Yarrowia lipolytica: one gene and its partners. The protein of the gene in region 3 interacts with the protein of the main gene of each other region in a pairwise test. Links are inferred from orthologs where the notes say so. Each region holds a gene or a part of one and is shown on either strand. Other genes may lie near its edges.

The links.
Region 1: the proteins of YALI1_D16981g (region 3) and YALI1_C10016g interact in binary tests that used the Saccharomyces cerevisiae proteins (3 or more experiments, as listed by UniProt). The link is inferred for Yarrowia lipolytica from reciprocal best matches to the Saccharomyces cerevisiae genes RVS167 and NVJ2.
Region 2: the proteins of YALI1_D16981g (region 3) and YALI1_B18645g interact in binary tests that used the Saccharomyces cerevisiae proteins (3 or more experiments, as listed by UniProt). The link is inferred for Yarrowia lipolytica from reciprocal best matches to the Saccharomyces cerevisiae genes RVS167 and ABP1.

The regions. Positions count from the first base shown.
Region 1 is NC_090772.1:997,702-1,004,062, forward strand, and holds YALI1_C10016g (uncharacterized protein), read right to left. Parts: upstream 3,961-6,361; coding exon 1,102-3,960; downstream 1-1,101. Other genes in the region: YALI1_C09977g (uncharacterized protein), read right to left, coding at 1-38; YALI1_C10041g (uncharacterized protein), read right to left, coding at 5,216-6,361. UniProt on the Saccharomyces cerevisiae protein: During endoplasmic reticulum (ER) stress or when cellular ceramide levels increase, induces contacts between the ER and medial-Golgi complex to facilitate non-vesicular transport of ceramides from the ER to the Golgi complex where they are converted to complex sphingolipids, preventing toxic ceramide accumulation.
Region 2 is NC_090771.1:1,862,094-1,868,249, reverse strand, and holds YALI1_B18645g (uncharacterized protein), read right to left. Parts: upstream 3,656-6,156; coding exon 1,259-3,655; downstream 1-1,258. Other genes in the region: YALI1_B18687g (uncharacterized protein), read left to right, coding at 1-959; YALI1_B18631g (uncharacterized protein), read left to right, coding at 5,086-6,156. UniProt on the Saccharomyces cerevisiae protein: Regulates ARP2/3 complex-mediated actin assembly. Recruits ARP2/3 complex to sides of preexisting actin filaments, which may promote nucleation or stabilization of filament branches. Binds to actin filaments, but not actin monomers.
Region 3 is NC_090773.1:1,695,485-1,700,256, forward strand, and holds YALI1_D16981g (uncharacterized protein), read right to left. Parts: upstream 2,688-4,772; coding exon 1,434-2,687; downstream 1-1,433. Other genes in the region: YALI1_D16959g (uncharacterized protein), read right to left, coding at 296-475, 533-571; YALI1_D16990g (uncharacterized protein), read left to right, coding at 3,529-4,014; YALI1_D16997g (uncharacterized protein), read left to right, coding at 4,259-4,772. UniProt on the Saccharomyces cerevisiae protein: Component of a cytoskeletal structure that is required for the formation of endocytic vesicles at the plasma membrane level.

The DNA of each region.
Region 1 (6,361 bases), on a different chromosome or scaffold from region 3:
CTGTAGCTGGCCACGTCAAATCCTCGATGGTGGGGCATACTGACTGCTTTTTTTTGTTTTGTTTTTTGGCTGAGTCCCGAAGCTGGACGTCTTCCACTGATCTCTATATAGCCTCCCCTGTGGCTTTACGTAGGTTCGTGTGGCTTGTATACGAGATATTGAAGGGTAATTGTCAGATAGATGTGAGGGAAACACTTCGCACGGACTAATGGCTAGCTGGTCGACTGCGAGTCAATCCTATGAAAGCCCATGTTATCATCACCAACTTCAATTGACTACATATGGGCATTTTCTAGATCTCCAGAGCTTAGAGCACCACCTCCGCTTCTACAGCAGTAGAAATACCCCGCTAACTCCACCGTAAATAAAACTCTGATCTCTTCCCTCTATTACTTCTTATGGCACGCTATCTGTATCTCATGTGGTACGAGCTGAGTTTAGACCCGCCGAGTGAGTGGTGGTCGAACTGCACCAGCCAGGACAACGTGTGTGACTGCTTCTTCGTACCTTAGTAAGGACTTCAGTTCATATAAGCCCTTTTTAATGAAGTGACATCAGGTGGATTTAACTAATGGAGATGTTCGTACATCTATAGCTCGGTCGTTTTGTTTCATTTTACGGAACCAAGTTCTATACAGTGCGGAAAGTTCGCCAAAAAACTCCTCCTATGGACCAGGTCTGGAAAAGAGACGGAGCGCTACTGTGCTGCGATGGAAACATTTGGGCCACAGACACGACTGTATGGGGTACGAATATGTGGGTTTGGCACCTCAATGAAGGTCGCCCAACATGAAGAATTTGGCCAGTATGCAGCGTTGTACAACCAGAAGGGTTCTGTCAACGCTTGATAGACCTCAAGAACAAGTTTTATATGGATGTAGGTGACATGCACGAAAAACACTCATCACCTTGATAGGGGTATCTTATGAAGAGGTGAGAATCTACACCTTCTCGAAGTCTTGCCTAGCCAACACCATCATGGGCTACCAGAGAGACTCGGACTTGTTCACTATTTAACCCAGGAACTAATGTAACCAGATATAATAACTTATATAAATGCATGCACCTGCGTATCACCGTTCCTGTCCCTATCGTTTATTATCATAGCTCCAAGGGAAATGTCTCTTCTTCGGGCCCTTTGGCAACATTGGCATTGGGTGCATCCCCAACAGGCTTTCTAATAACCTCCTTGGTAGGTGCGACCTCCTTAGCAATCTCCTTGGCAGTTTCCTTGGCCGCCTTTACAGGCTTGGGATCAGTGACACCCTTCACCTCCTTGACAGCCTTGACTTCATTGCTCTCATTCACATCCTTCTTATCAGCACCTACGGGCTTCCGGGGCACCTTACTAACCACAGGAGGATCTGATGCGGGAGGAGTTTGGACAGCAGATAGAGGCGAGGCCTTGTGAGAATGGAATACAAGCGCTTCCTTGGGAGGCGATCCTTCTTCCACAGGGAGAGAGACGACAGACACTTTGTTCTCGTCTCGAAATGAACTCATCGAAGACAGAGAGTCTCGAGATACCGAAGTAGCTAGTTTGGCAGCCGACTGAGCAGAGTCGTGAGACGTACTCCGCTTGTGTGCATCGCGTGACGTCTTGGGAGCAACGCCGGACTCACGAGCGAGGGGGGAGTCATGCGACGAGCTCATCTTGGGAGCTACTCCAGACTCACGCGAAGAGCCAATCTTCGGGGAGGGAGCCAGATTGGGCGACGCGCCGAAAGAGGGCGACAAGCCGGACTCACGTGACACACCAAGACCAATGGGGTCACGTGACAGCTTGGGCGACACGCCGGACTCACGGGTCGGGACAGCAACAGGCATGGTGGGACTGCTCTGCAGGGTGGGAGACACAGAAGTGGCAGCTCGAACAGGCTTGCGTTTCACAAATTGGTTCTTGTCAGTATCGACAGAGGCAGTGTTTGATCTGGGAGGCAGGGCAGGAGGGGATCCAGGCAAAGTAGGCGATGCCGGCATTTCCATGCCGATTGGTTGGTCAGGGTTGGACAGCTTTCTCTTGCGTTCTTGCTCGTTGATGAGATCAATCATTTCAGGAGGGAAATGATGAGGTTGGGGAGCCTTCTTCTCAGAAGGCTTTCTGTGGGTGATGGCAGCAGCAGGAGAAAGAGAGACTGTGGCGTCGGCTGTGAGATTGGGCGCGGTCGCTGATCTGTTGACAGACGCAAAACCTCCAGCAGGCTTGGCCTTTTTGGTAGCCTCGGCCTTCTTCTCTGTGTACCAAGCGCCCCACTTCTTCATGGTGCCCATGAAGTTGGTGGTGGCGGTGTTGTTAGACTTGATGGAATCATTGTCAGAAGTTGTGGGATGAGCCAGAGACGATGTAGAGGCAGCAGCAGAAGCAAGAGTCGTTCCAATGGCAGAGGTGGTCGCTGCACTATCGCTTACTGCTTCATCATCTTCAGGGGACGCTCGGAACGTTCTATGTCGCATTCCAGCATGGATGGAAGGGGGAGGAGTTTCAGACAGAAGAGATTCGTCATCATGATCACCGATCTTCTCATCTGTCAGGTCCTCCTCCTTGTTCTCCATTTCCTCCTCCTTGCCCAGATGATCTTCCCAAAGTCCTCCTCTATAAGGATTGCCAGGTTGCGAAGGGAAGAAGTTGATGTCTTCTGTGAACGGCAAAACAATGCTTTCCTTGACAATCTCGCGGATCTTAGACTCAATTACGTTGGTGACCATGGAGTAGGTGATTTGTCGCGCAGAAACGACAGGCTCGACCTTGAGACTCATCTCAGGCATGGACTCAAAGCCCCACCAGATTCGAGTGGAAGGAGGAGGCTTGACCTGGAATACAACAATGCCCTCCATCTTCGAAAGAGTCAGACGAAGCACCAGTGTCACAGGTCGAGGCTTGATGTTGATGAGCTTCTGGCCAAAGTTGAAGGTGGCCTTGGTTGAAATCTCAATTGTATATCCTCCGTTGTACGACAGATGAGCAGCCACAACAAGTGTTCCGTCGGGCTTGAGCTCTCTAAGTTTAGGTGTCGTTAGGAAAGGAATAGAGGTACCCACGTTGATCTTAGTGACTTGGATCTCACTCAAGAATGCTGGTCTTTTTACTCGAGCGAGCTTCTTGACTATTTTTTCTTCGAAATAACCCCGGAACGCATCTGTCTGGTATGCCGCCATGAACATTCGGGCAGTGATGGCATTGAACCAGGCCGTCTGCAAGTTTTCGTCCGAGGAGTGCAATTTTTGAATAATGTTAATCATGTCGTGATGGTCAAACATGAGAGCCTTGCCCTTCGGCGAGTTCTGGCACGTGAGCTCGACGATTCGGAAGTAAAGATCTTCCTTGAGCGAGCAGTTTTCCAGAAAGATGTAGTATGTGAGATCCTTTTTGATGTGTGTCAGACAGACCGCCACCCGCTTGGCCAGCAAGTTGGCGTCGGGCAGCTCTGGATACAACTGGACCTTGTACTTGTTGAGAACAATGGCGTGTTGCAGATCGCGCTCCTCGGACTTGTACAGAAACAGGTTGCCGAGCTTGAGCTCAGCATAGTATCGAGACTTGACTGGCTTTGGTTTTGTGGTGGTTGTGTTGGCGGTGGCTGTGTTGGCTGCCTGGATTGCCGGATTTGCGTCCTTTGAGGCGCTGTCGTTTATGTTTGTGTTGCTGGCGTCGCCGTTTCCATTGGCCAGCTTGTAGAGCGATGTGTAGGCTGAGGGATTGTCCTTCTTGTCTGGCACGTCGCCTGAAGGGTACTCAAAGTACTCCTTAGTAACGGTTACCCAGCCCGAGAAGACGGGTTTCTCGGTCACATTGGTAGGAATTAGCGGTTCGGTTTCGTACTTCTCCTCCGCCTCGAAATCCGGGTCACCATCGGGGGTTGTATCACCATCAATGTCTCCAGCATACCTCCACAAAAGGTATATCAAGCCGGGCAGAAAAGTGAGGCCTCCAAAAAGGTAGACACAGAGAATGAAAAGCATCACGTGACGTAATTCGGCCGGACCACAAGCGCAGACGTAGTGTTGAACAGGTCTGTGTTCTGTGTAGTTGAAGGTGGATGGAGTGGTACAAGTTTACTGTAGCTACGTACGTATGTATGAGTACTGCTACTCCAGAGTAGGTTTATGCTCATGCGTCTGAGACGTATTGCCACTAGATATGGGGATGGAGTTGTAAGAGGACGGTGCAGGGTATCTGGCGATCATAGAGGCTTGTAGATATCATTAACTAGTCTTTCTGTGAAAAACGCACTTTTCTGCTTCTTTATATCTCTATTCTAGCATGTTTCAGTCGCTCTGAACACTGTCGAAAATATGACAGCGTAAGCTAACTTTAGTATGGTCTCCATAAATAAGGAACTCGAGGAAATAAAGGCCCCTTAGTTCGTTCTTTTAGTACTATTGGAGGGGTAAGATAATGGAGGAGGGTGGTGCTTGGGGTTTTTTGTGTGTTTTCGGGGCTTTTAATGGCCAAAAAATGTCCAATATCCGTCTCAATCGTCTTTCTTCTGCTCGTCAATAAGCGCGATTTATTTCCGGTCTATGTACTGATCGTCGAAGATGAAAAATCCGCGGAAAAAATCGCAGAAATTCGGGGAAAAAAGGGCGTTAATCGTTGAAATTACCAATAAACCGTGGAAGAAAGATTGAGAGGCATTCGCACGTGTCGCTACGGACCTGGTCGTCACTACATCAAACCTCTTCGGGTAACCCCAATCGGATTTAAGAGCTAATCTTCTCCGAGAATGGTCTGAGTTCGGAATGACGAGAAGCTTGTGGCGTATTAGATGTGGTTTTTGCAGCAATTATGGACCGGCGAGGGCGATTGTGGGACGTGTACCGGGCAGACGAAGTGGAATAATTGTCTGATGCAAGTAACTTGCTCAACTATATTGCTCACCATAGAAACAAGGTTACTTGGGCTGCACCTTTTTGGGGGGAGCATAGCGTCAAGTAAAGGGTTAACTGAATAACACTTCAATAGTTGAATTTTACTTAACGAAGTGAGAATCCTTCTCTGCACGACTCCATAGGAAATATTGCAGAACTTGGAGGTGAGGAATATTGTAATCTGATGATACTCCATCCACCGGACAAGTCGCAGATTTCTTAAATCGTCATTTAATGTTGACAGTGCCCTCGTGTCCATCAGAGGTCCACTCGCACATAACCCAATATGATCGAAACGAATTTAACTAGTCAGTCTATTCTATATCGTGTCTATGTTATATATCGGTCAGACGGATTGGGCCTTGGGGTTGTTTTTGACCCATCGAGCTCTCAACCATCGTGCAATGTAGACGAGAGCCAGCAGAACGGGCACCTCGATGAGGGGACCGACGGTTGTGGCTAGAGCCTGGCCACCCTGGGTTCCAAAGAGAGAAGCTGCAATGGCGATGGCCAGCTCAAAGTTGTTGCTGGCGGCTGTAAAGCTCTGGGTCACCGAGATGGCATAGTTGACCTTGCCGACCTTCAGACAGTAGAGCATGGTTCCGGTGAAGGTGATGAGGAAGTAGACGACCAGAGGGGCCGAGACTCGTAGCACAGAGATGATCTGGTCCACCACCCTGGCTCCCTGAGATGCAAAAAGGACAATGATGGTGTAGAGTAGAGCGATGAGAGACAGGGGAGAGATCCACTGGATGAACTTGTGCTCGTGTTTGCTCCAGTTGGGGATCTTCTTGAACAAGAACCGGGTAATAAGAGCTGCGGCCAGAGGAATTGCCATGAAGATGGCTACGTATTTGGTCACAGAACCGTAGTCCAGATGGCCGACATGGGGGTCATGGTTGTGGTTTTGAGATACGTAGTTGACGACAAAGTATGCAAGAGGAGGGAAGAGAATGATCTGCAGAATGGTGTTGAAAGAGACCAGCACGGCGCAGTAGAAGCTGTCACCAAAAGCCAACTCGTTCCAAATTAGAACCATGGCAATACATCGGGCAATGCCCACAATCATGAGACCTTCTCTGAGTTCAGGCTTATCTGGCAAGAAGGCCCATGAGAGACCAAACATGAGAGCAGGAGACACGATCCAGTTGATGATGAAGGAAATAAGCAGTTGCTTCCACATGGCCCGGGTTTTGAGAGCCTTGGGAAGATCTTCAAACTCCACTTTGCACAGAATGGGATACATTGTGAGCAAGAGTCCAATGAAAATGGGCACTGAGACTCCTGTGAAAGTTGTACTGTTCAAATTGGGACCCGCCGAGGGCACAAATTTGCCGATAATGATGCCAATTGCCATTGCCAGGAACACCCAGAGAGGCAGAAGGGTTGAAAGCCAAGGAAGACGGGGATTTGCCGGTGATGGAGTCTCCGAGACAAACTTGTTGGCATTCTCGTAGCATTCACAGTTGTCAAGACACTCATGTGAGATGTA
Region 2 (6,156 bases), on a different chromosome or scaffold from region 3:
CTGACATGAGTAATCCTTCCTCATCCGCATATAAGGCGCTGGAGATGTTTGATAACCGGGTGCTGCTGGCCAATTGCCGAAACGACCGAACGGTGCACTTCCCAACGGCGTTTATCACGGCTGCTAATCCGTTTGCTAACCTACGATGGCTCGATCTCAAGTTCCACGAAGTCAAGCTGCAAGAACCCGTGGTGGACAGCTACGGCTGGAGCCACTCGCCTCGAATCATTGACTTCAAACGAACCACCAAACGGTCCCTTCCTTTCCCCGTCTACCACGAACACATTCGCCAGAAGCTTATCTTCTGGAGTTTTGCGGCTACTGTTGGTCCCCTAGCTATCACAGCTGTGTTAATTGCGTCCATGTTCTTCACCAACAACTCAAATCACCGAGTCAGCAAGTTTCTGAGAGAAGGAGACAAGGCACTCATGGGTGAGATTCTCGAAAGTATCAAGATGGAGACTTTTGACGAGGAGTGGTTGAATGAGGGTGACGAGAGGAAGGTTGGCGGTAAGGGGGAGAAGACTGAGAACACCGACAAACAATCCTCCCCCGTTTCTAAAACGGACGCGTCCAAGGTTGAGGAAGAGGCTGATGTCATGGCTGCTGGAATCACTGAAGCTGCCGTCGAAGACGTCATTCTAGGTGATGATCTTAACAACACCGACACGCCTGCTTTGTCGGAAACCAAGGTGGTCGGTCTGGGTGAAGCTATGGAGGCGGCTAGACACACAGGAGACCGAGGATTGCTGGCCAACTGGGCGAACAACGCGCCTTTCTCCGAGGACGTACTCAGCATGATTGAGAACATGGACAAGCTAGGCTGGGAAAAGTACGCCGTGTACATTACCGTGATCCATTCTCATGCTGCCATTGTTGCTCGACGAGGGCTTACTCAACAGGGACAGGGTGCAGCTACCCTGCGTCTCTTCAGCGAGATTATTAGATCCAAGATTTGAACACAACAATCTTGTTGCTCGCGGAAGCCAGACGGGCATGCTAACTTATAGACACACAGTATGACGTGGTAATTTATAATAGAAGTTTACAAAACACAGCACTACGACTATTCACACAGTAATCTACAATCAGTTCAATCCATCAAGTCATAATTATTTATACATCATAGAACGATTAGGCTAATCCTGGAGCTCAACAAAGTTGGAAGGGAAGAGGTTTCGCTTGCCGTTGAGCGATCCGGTCCACCAGTCCTCGTCGATGAATTCAATATCTGTGATGATATCGTCCGCCGCGAAGCTCAGTTCATTGTCCTCAGCAGCGTCGTAGTCGTACAGGGCGATGGCAGAGGGGCCAGTGCCAGCTCCGGCAGCAGCGCCGGCAGCAGCGCCCGGCAGCCCGCGGCAGGATCGGGAATGGTGGGCACAGCACCATCCTTAAGCCTGACATAGTTGGAGGGGAACAGACCGGACTCACCCTTGGAGTTGGTTCCGCTCCACCAGTTCTCGTCCAGGAACTCAATGTCGGTGACGATCTCGTCCTCCACGAGATCGATCTCACCCTCCTCATCCTTAGTGTAATCGTACTCCACGGTGGCAGAGGGCTTGCTGGAGACAACAGCAGCAGGAGTGGCAGCAGCAGCACCGCCTCGAGAAGGCAGGGCGGGAGCAGGAGGCTCATCGGCAGCAGGTCGAGATGGCATGGGAGGAGGAGGAGCGTCGTTAGCAACATGTCGAGCAGGCATAGGAGGGGGGGCATCATCGTCGTTGGCGGGAGGAGGGGCGTGTCGAGCAGGCATGGGGGGAGGAGCATCATCTTCTTCCTCATCTTTGGCAGCTCCTCGAGCAGGAGGAGGAGGAGGTCCTCCGGTACCAGCACCAGCAGAGAAGGCGGCCTGAAGAGCAGAGGCGCCCTTGGAGAAGCTGTTGTGCTCGTCCTCATCGTCGTCATCCTCATCAGCGGGGGGTCGAGATGCAGAGGGAGGAGGCGGGGGCACTGTTCGAGCAGGAGGAGGGGGAGCATCATCTTCGTCGGCAGCAGCGGGCTTGTTGAAGGCGCCTCGGAGAGCAGAGACAGAGACAGCGGGAGCATCGTCCTCGTCCTCATCATCGTCGTCGTCGTTTACTCGAGAGGCGGAAGGAGGGGGAGGAGGAATGGTTCGAGAAGCAGGGGCGGGGGTGGACTTCTTGGGCTCGTCATGCACGGCCGGCTTATTGAAGGCACCTCGAAGAGCGGAAACCGATGCGTGGGGCTCGTCATCTTCGTCGTCATCACCACCGAAAGAAGCAGGAGTCTTCTTGTCCTCCTCATCATCGTCGTTCACAGACAGCTTGGAGAACTTGTCGGATGCAGAAGAGACGTTGGAGGTAGACGAAGGCACGGCCACGTCAGGCTGGGGAGTCTTTCCATGCTTTTCAGCCCAGATCTGACCGGGAGTCTTACCGTTCTCAGAGGCAAAATCTCGGGATCCACCAGACACAATTGAGGTCTTGAGACCATACTGAGACGACAGATCACCGGCGGGGGCCAGAGGCTTGGTTCCTCGAGAGGCAGCGGGTGTGAATCGAGACTGGATAGCAGATTTGTCGATCTTGGGCTTGGGCATCTCGGTGAGCCGTCCAGACCCGGAGAAAGCGTTGAGTCGGTCCTTAACAGACTTGGGGGTCTCATCCTCCTCATCGTCGTCGTCTCCACCAATGGTGGTAGGGGGCTTCTTGGAGGGAGTGGGAGTAGAAGAAGACTTGGAGGGCTTCTGGAAGGCCTTCATTCTGTCTTTGAGAGACATAGGCTCGCCGTCCTCGTCCCCGTTCTGGTTGTCCTCATCCTCAACATCGGCGACAGGGGCAGGCTTAGAGGTAGGCTTAGGAGTGGCCTTGGGCTTGGGCTTGTCGAGGTCCGTCTTGATGGGGGTGTTTTCAAAGGACTCCTTGTGTCCCTTGCCCTGGGCTCGGATGGCTGCAATGTCAATTTTACCGACGGGCTTGTAGGAGCCACCGACAATGCCTCGATCTGAGTCGGCGTCTCGTCCCTCGGACGTGAAGGTCGAGGGTCCTCCCTTCTTTCGGATCTCGGCCAGGTCAACCTTGACGGGCTTGTAGGACGACTCAACAGGTGTGGGCTTGGAGACGGGCTTGGTTTCCACTGCAGGGGCGTCTCCCCAGTCCTCCTCATCGGCTCCAGACTTTTGCGTTGTGTAGGTGGGCTTGGTCTTGATGGCCGACGAGATTCCGGGCTTTCTGGATGAGGTGGCTCCGTACTTGGCACCAGAGGCTCGCTCCAGCCGCTCCAGGATCACATCCTCAGTGAGATCGTCTCGGTCTCGGGCAGTCACCTGGACGTGGTAGCCGTGGAAGAGATTTCCAAGGGCATGGAGATGGGGGTTGAAGACACCCTTGGCTCGAGGGTCGGGGACTCCCTCAGGACACCAGCCCACGTAGACAATCTTGGGTAGCTTCGAGTGAGGGTCGGGGACTCGGACCAGGCCGTATTGCAGCTTGCCCTCCTCGAACTCGTCGAGGAAATCGGCCAGAGTGGAAGTGTCAGACTCAGGGATGGCTGCGACCTTGATGGTGGCCGAGGACGCTGTGGGAGAGGTGGCATAACCAAAGATTGCCCAGGGGAACTCGGGGTCATTGCTGACAATGGCGCCGTACACGTCCTTGATCTGCTGGCCGTTGGTAGCTAGGTCGAGAGACATGTTGAAACGTGTGTTGCGGTAATTGGGTGTGTAAGAGTGTGTGTGTGGAGAGACTATGTACAAGTGGTGAGCTAATTGAGAGTTATAGACCAACCATGCACTGTGATGTGGAGTTTAAAGCTCGGAGCAATCGGATGGTGGAGCGGTTCGAATGGGTGATAGAGGGGTGATATGAAAAAAAGTAAGGATGAGAATGTGTTTGTAATGGACAATTGTTTGTGGTTGGGGGTATCATTCTTCTCTTGTATGCCTCCCCTACCCCGCATGAAGGCTGCTCTCTACCTGTACAGAGTTGTATTGTCTATGTCTCAGCACTACACCTCGTACTGGTAGTTACAATAAGCCAGACGTAGCCTAGATGCCGTCTCACGACCCTTTACTTGATTTGCAGTGACTGACAAGATAAATAGCAAGTGCCAGACTGTGAATTGTGACAACATGTCCTTGCTGTCCTCTTTTTCATTGTACTTGTTGTTGTACGTCTGGCTGTTCTGCATAAACCGGATTTTTGTCTGTTGCTATCTCCGGATGGACTTTCAAGCTCTTTCAAGCGAATGAACCACCCAATTGGGATCGGATTTAAGCAGCTTTATTGAGTCGCTCTTTTCTATAACTAGTATTGCTAGCCACTCTTTGTATCCCCAAAGGTCAGTGTACACAGCCCCCAGGAGGTCAATTTACGCGGGCTTTTATCCGCAACACCATCCACGCAGCACACATGTATGACGTATGATCAAACCATGAGTTGGAAATAGATGCTGTAGGCGATATGTACGACGTTCAAGTACTTATGGTCAATGCGCAACAGATAATGAAAAGTGTGAGTCATGCGGTCTAGTCACGATGAAATTTGAATCTCGCACGGTCTCTATTCAATTTGGAACTAATTGTAGTCTCTACTGTAGCTAAGCCATACGGCTGATATCTGTCTCCACTTGAGTGGTTTAAGCTGTCAAGTAAAATGAGGGATAAACTGAGTGTGAGGGATGTTCTCAAAATGTGAGTGATTGACTATATATAAGCCAAAATCTTGTTTTTCTAGCGATAGCCATCATGGCCGTGTCATCCTATTGGCCAGAAGAGAAAATGCTACACAATCCCTACAGTATGTACAGTACTCGTACTCGTGCAGTAGTTTACCCAATGTATTACAATATCTCATCGATAAACTCAGCTTTATCGCAACAATGGCATTGCATTTAAAGTGGGTGTGGTAAGAGTACAGTATGTACGTATTATTGTCAATTGAAAACACGTTTACATTTGACTCTTTCAAGGACAAGAAAGTATTTGAGAGATGAGTGCAATTTGTATCTGATTCTCATACAAAACGTCGTTCATTCCACTGAAAATACATCTTGCTGACAGCAACATTTCTCTCTCCACTTTAATAACGACCCACAATCCCTAACCCCTCCTTCACAGATGTCATGCGCATGAACATCTTCCGCCGTCCTTCGATCCACAAACTGGTGATGGTTGCGACAACAAGAACGCGAACCAAGCGAAGTCTGGCTGAACCTGAAACAACAGCGCCTGTGGTGACTCCCAGTACTCCCAAAAGACAGAAAACCAAGCTTGAGATCCCTACTACTCCCTTGGCTCCAGCCCCTAAGATTTCCCTGGCTGAGTCTATCAAGCTGATACCCAAGCTAGATCCTGTAACCAAAGACAACAGTCACTGGGACGAAATTTACGAATCAGATTTCTCCAAGGGCCTCAAGTACATTCTCGATGTCGATCCTTCTCTGGAGGATATCGTACACTCGTCCGAGTTCACTTCTTTTGTCAAAGAAGCTGCTACTCGGCAAGAGTCCAGAACCAACAGAAAGTGTAACAATTGCTTCGAACATCTTACAAGGGGCATCATTGGACAACAGGTATCTGGAGCAGCTGCCGAGTCGATTCTCAAGAAGTTCAAGAAACTGTTTCCAGTCGAAGGAAGCGAAGATGGCAAATTTCCGAGCCCACAGGAGATCCTCGACACCCCAACCGAGGCCTTAAGAAGCGCAGGTTTGTCTGGAAGGAAGGCAGAATACATCACATGTCTATCTACGGCCTTTAAGGATGGAACTCTGTCCGATGACTGGCTCAGTACTGCCTCCGATGACGATGTTGTCGATGCTCTGGTCGCCATCAAGGGCATTGGGCCTTGGTCAGCGGACATGTTTCTTCTCTTTGCTCTTAAACGAATGGATGTCTTCACATTGGGTGATCTCGGTATCCAGAGAGGTGTATCTGTTTACCTCAAAGAGCGTCCTCATCTTGCTGAGATCATCAAGCAGGTTGACTTTTCGCTCCCTATTAATGGGGTCCACAGTCCTGGCAAGTCTAAAAAGGCTGGCGCTCGAAAAGCAGCCAAGTCAAAGCCAGATACAAAGGGTAAATGGAGGGTGCCCACAGCAGATGAAATGACCTGGGTGGCCCATCGGTTTGCTCCTTACCGTTCAGTAATGATGCTAATTCTGTGGAAGATCAGTGATGTCAATACTGCAATTCTG
Region 3 (4,772 bases):
ACTTATTGTTTGGGGAAGATGTTGGTATGGTACTTGTACGGTACTTGTGCGGTATTGTGCCGACTTGCATGGTATTGTGCCGACTTGCACGGTATTGTACCGACTTGCTGTATCGTGCAAGTACGCTGACCCAACACACACTCGGGTCGTATTCCTCCATTTGAGCCCTTGTATCACCTCTGTCAATCCTCGTGTCAATCTCTTGGTTCACCTGTCTCAAAATGTTTCTATTTATACCCCTAATTGTGATGATCTATGAATATGTCTCACGCTTGTTCCGAAGCGAGCGAAGCAGTTATGAAGCGCTAAAAAAAGCAACGCCGACTCGAGACTGTTGGAGACGGAAAGACGACGCATTAAGACAGTTAATTAAAGCGGCTGCGCTGCTCCACCGGCTGCACAAGGGGCTGAGAGACACGGGGGTCGGTGGCAGCTGAGCAGCAATCTCGGTGAAACATGACCCGATGATGTAGAACTTGTCGAAGCAGTGGGGATCGGTGTATTCGAAGAAAGACGGTTACCTTTCGTGAACATCATGAACGTACTTGTAGCGGAGCCTCAGACGTGCCATGGGGTGTTTTAGAGTATTTTAACTAATTATTCCGATTTTTTCCACAATCAAAATAAATCAGATAAATTGAAAAAAAATGGGAAAAAAATGAAAGAAAAAAAAACCCAAGATTGACAGAAAAACTGGACTGCTCAATCCATCACCTCAAACTCTTGTCCATGCTCCAACCCCACATCAAACCCACTCGTTCCACCAACCCAACGATCTTCTACGGAGGTGCATTATCTCTGCATGAGTGATGCGACTACATTCGTCCATCGTCAGATATCGTGGACACCGCCAGCAACTCCATAGTCACCTGGCAAGTCCCGAAAAGACATCCCTTGTCATTAATTTGTCTTGTCTTTTTGTTAGAAGGCATTATTTGTTACATGTACCTACACTATGTGCTCCAGTATGTAATTCTTGGAAAGGAGGGCAACTGGATGAGCATCCAGAAGAGTATACAAGTATATACGACCCGTGGACTCGCACAGACTTCATCATATCATTCGAGCAGTTCCATTTCTCGTTAAAATAGTCCCATACTTCCTAACATATCAACTACTTGTAGAATGGACACACCTTGAATCGACTTTCAATGTCATCATGTCTCAAGTGTGTTCTTGCTCGTGGTATCAGATCATTCTGTCATCTTCCTTGAGTCTGAAGCTGTTAGGGACATATCCATTCACTCTAGACACATACTTGTTCTAGAGCTCCATATCCTACCAACTCCTACACTACCAAAACCAATGCATACATATCTCATTACTATTAAATGCCCGTTCAAGTGCAGTTCCGTGATGGCGGTGAAATCATAATTCAGGCTCACCACCAAGGCCAGATCACAAACAACCTGGCTTCGCTTCGCTCGCTGCGGTTACGCATTCAACTGAACATAATTTCCAGGAAACACTCCCTGGTGTCCCCCGACAATACCCGTCCACCAACCGTTGGTGTCAGCGGTTCGCTGAACAATGGTGATGACCTGTCCGGCGGAAAACGACAGGTCGCCAGCAGCCTGCGCCTCGTAGTCGTACAGGGCGGTGCAGGTTTCAGCTGCGGGAGCGGCGGCTGCAGGAGCCCCGGGAGGCGTGTACACGGCCTTTTCGTTGGGGTAGCCGGTGGCGGTGTACGCGGCGGGAGCGGCAGCGGCAGCTGCAGCAGGGTCGGCGGCCTCCTCGCCTCCATAAGCGGGCGGCGCAGCACCGGCGACGGGGGCAGCTCCTGCAGCGGCCTCCTTATCCTTGTCCTTTGCAAACCGTCGCTTTGTCATTTCGAGCTTGGCACGGGCGTGTCCGACTCGGAACTGGGTGATGGAGAGCTGTTCAGTTCGCTCGGCAACGTCGCCCCGCTTGGCAGCAAAGGCGCCCTCGATGTCCTCGTTGGTGAGGTCAAAGTAGGGAATCTTCATTTCCTCCATGCGGATGTAGAGGGTGTAGAAGACGTTGAGCTGCATGTAGTAGAAGGACTGGAAGAGAGGAGCGATGAACTGGGCCTCCAGCTCAAACAGCTGCGGCAGCTCCTCCTTGAGCATGTCGTTGTAGTAGTCGTACTCCTGCTGGGCGATTTCGACGGCTGACTCGGCCGAGTACATCTTCTTCTCGTCGTTGACGCTTCGTTCCTTCTTATCCTGGTACTTTTTCAGCGAGTTGTTGTGTCGGTCGAGATCCAGCTGTTTGTGGGCACGCTTTGTGGCCATCTTTCGAATCGAGTTGATCACCTCCAGCAGCTCGTTGGCGGGGCCAATGATTCGCGAATCGATCATCTCCAGCTCGGGCTTGAGCGTTGCCTGCAGATCGTTGACCACCTCACGGTACTGCTCGCATGCACTGATACCTTCGGGGTTGCCCTCGGGAATGGCTCCGTTGGGGTCCGACAGCCGTCCAGAAATGGGCTTGTAGATCTCCTCAATCGCCTTGGAGAACTGGATCTGGTGCTCCAGCATGCCGTTGATCGCGTCAAAGTACTTTTTCGACTCCTCGTGCAGCTTCTTGGTCTCCTTCTCGAGCTCCTTGAACCGCCTCTCGGCGTCAATGTAGACCAGATCCTTGGTCTGCTCCCCAATATTGAACTTGGCCTTGAACGACTGAGGCGCTCGGGCGATGCCCTTGGTGATTCCTTTCATAGACATGGCGCAAACAGGTCACCACACGTGGCGTGGAGTGGGTGGGATAATGTAGTGTGTGTTGCTACTCACTGTGTTTAGACCAGCTTGCGTGACGCACCAACCTGTGCTCCAAATGTCTCAGCCGGGTAACCTTTGCGGAGGTGGTGAACCGGCACCGGTGGCAACAAAGCACACACAAAACGGCCCAAAACAAAGACGACAGATATCGTTGCTGTCGTCGCACGCGCCGCTTTTTTTTTTTGCTATTTTTTCTCCACCCAAAAAAAGCCCGCTATCGTCCTGCTAATGCTCTTAGTGTCGTGCTAGTGGTGGTGATGTACAGTATGTATGGTAAGATGACAGTTGGGTATCGTGCGTGCAAGTCGTATTGCGTCACAAGAGGAGACGAAACACCAAGCAGTGGTATCACGTGACGCCTTCCCGTCTGGGATATAAGTCGTCCAAATGCCGACTTTGAGTAGCCGCACGACTTGTATCACTCTCCGTCTATAGATACCGCTAGCTATCCGCTCCAGCATCATACTCCACCAGATAACAGCTTAATCAAACTCTGCAATTATACGTGAGACAGTGATGCCGCATGTAAGAATGAGTGCATGGCACGATGGCTGAGCGGAGCAAAGTGGGCCGGGTTTTTCGGCTTTTCGGCGACTAAAAAAGCCGGTGTTGCTGGTCCTGGTCATCAAGCACCGTTGACGGCTCCAACAATCGCCCTTGGTTGCCCCCAAGACTCCAACGGGGGACCATCAGGGCCCCACTTATGCACCGCATCACCTTGTCTTAAACAAGACATGTGCCACAATCGCATCGGAATGAAGCGACGAGTAATGGTCTGAGAAGGAAAATGAAAATACCGAAAAGATGGATACATTCTGCTCGTTATTTTCCTCAATTTTCTCCATTTTTTCCTATTTTTCCCCGTCTTTCCACACGCGTTTTTCAGTCCCCATCGCTTATCATTGACATTCTCAGCCCCATCCTAAACACTAATCTTCCGCCCTATTGGTCTTGGCAACGGACAAGAGATACAAGTGTAGGGTGGATATTTGCTTCGTTTTTTGCAAGTGGTTTCGTGGCCGGTTTTGGGTGGTTTTGTGGGCGTTTGTGGCGTTTGTGGCGTTTGTGGGTTGTTGTGTTTTTTTTTTTTTTTTTTTTTTTTTTTTTTTTTTTTTTTTTTTTTTTTTTTTTTTTAATCTATTTTCATTTATTTTATGTTCATTTATTTAATTTTATTTGTCAGTTTTTTCTTCAATGTTTTATGGTCTTCATCGATTTTGCACACTACTCCGCACATTCTTACAATTCAACCAATCAGACACGTCCATACTGATACTGAGCTCATGTCGACGCGTCCGACACCAAACACCGCCCCCAAAAACTCACCAAAACCCCCAGTATGTCTCGCAAAACTTTCCCTTAACTAATACCTCAATTATGGTTCCACTAGCACCAATTATCGAGACATATATGGAGGGATGTTTCCGAAACGACCATTTTTGAGATAACGTGACCGTAAGGAGTTTGGAGAATATCCGTTAGTTTTTGCCGAATTTTCTCATACTAATATTGTATTTATGTGGTTTTTATTGATTTATTGGGTATTTTGTTTTTTATTGAACCGCTCTCAAACATACACTGTAATTAGAAGCAGCACAAAATACACAGAAATCATCATACAGAACTCCAAGACTCCCACAAATCCCAGAAAATCTCAAAAAATAACTATACACCAGAAACAGCCGGAAACCACCTCCGAAACAACCACAAAACCAACCCGAAACCCCGACACTACCTGCTTCTACCCTAACCCCAGTGATACATATGCAAAGTATGGTGGGGTGGGATGCATTTGGATCATCATCATGGGAGTCAGCGATGGAGGTGGTACAAGTACTGCGAAAGATGACCTGTTGAGCGGCAATGATGTATACGATGGTTACGATCGATACGACAACCTATACGACGAACAATTCGACTCCCAATACGACAATGCCAACGATGATATACCTATGGACGTGTTAATCCCTCTACTCATCTCTCTATGGGGGCTTATGTCTTTGTGTCTGTGTATCTACACACACAAGTTCA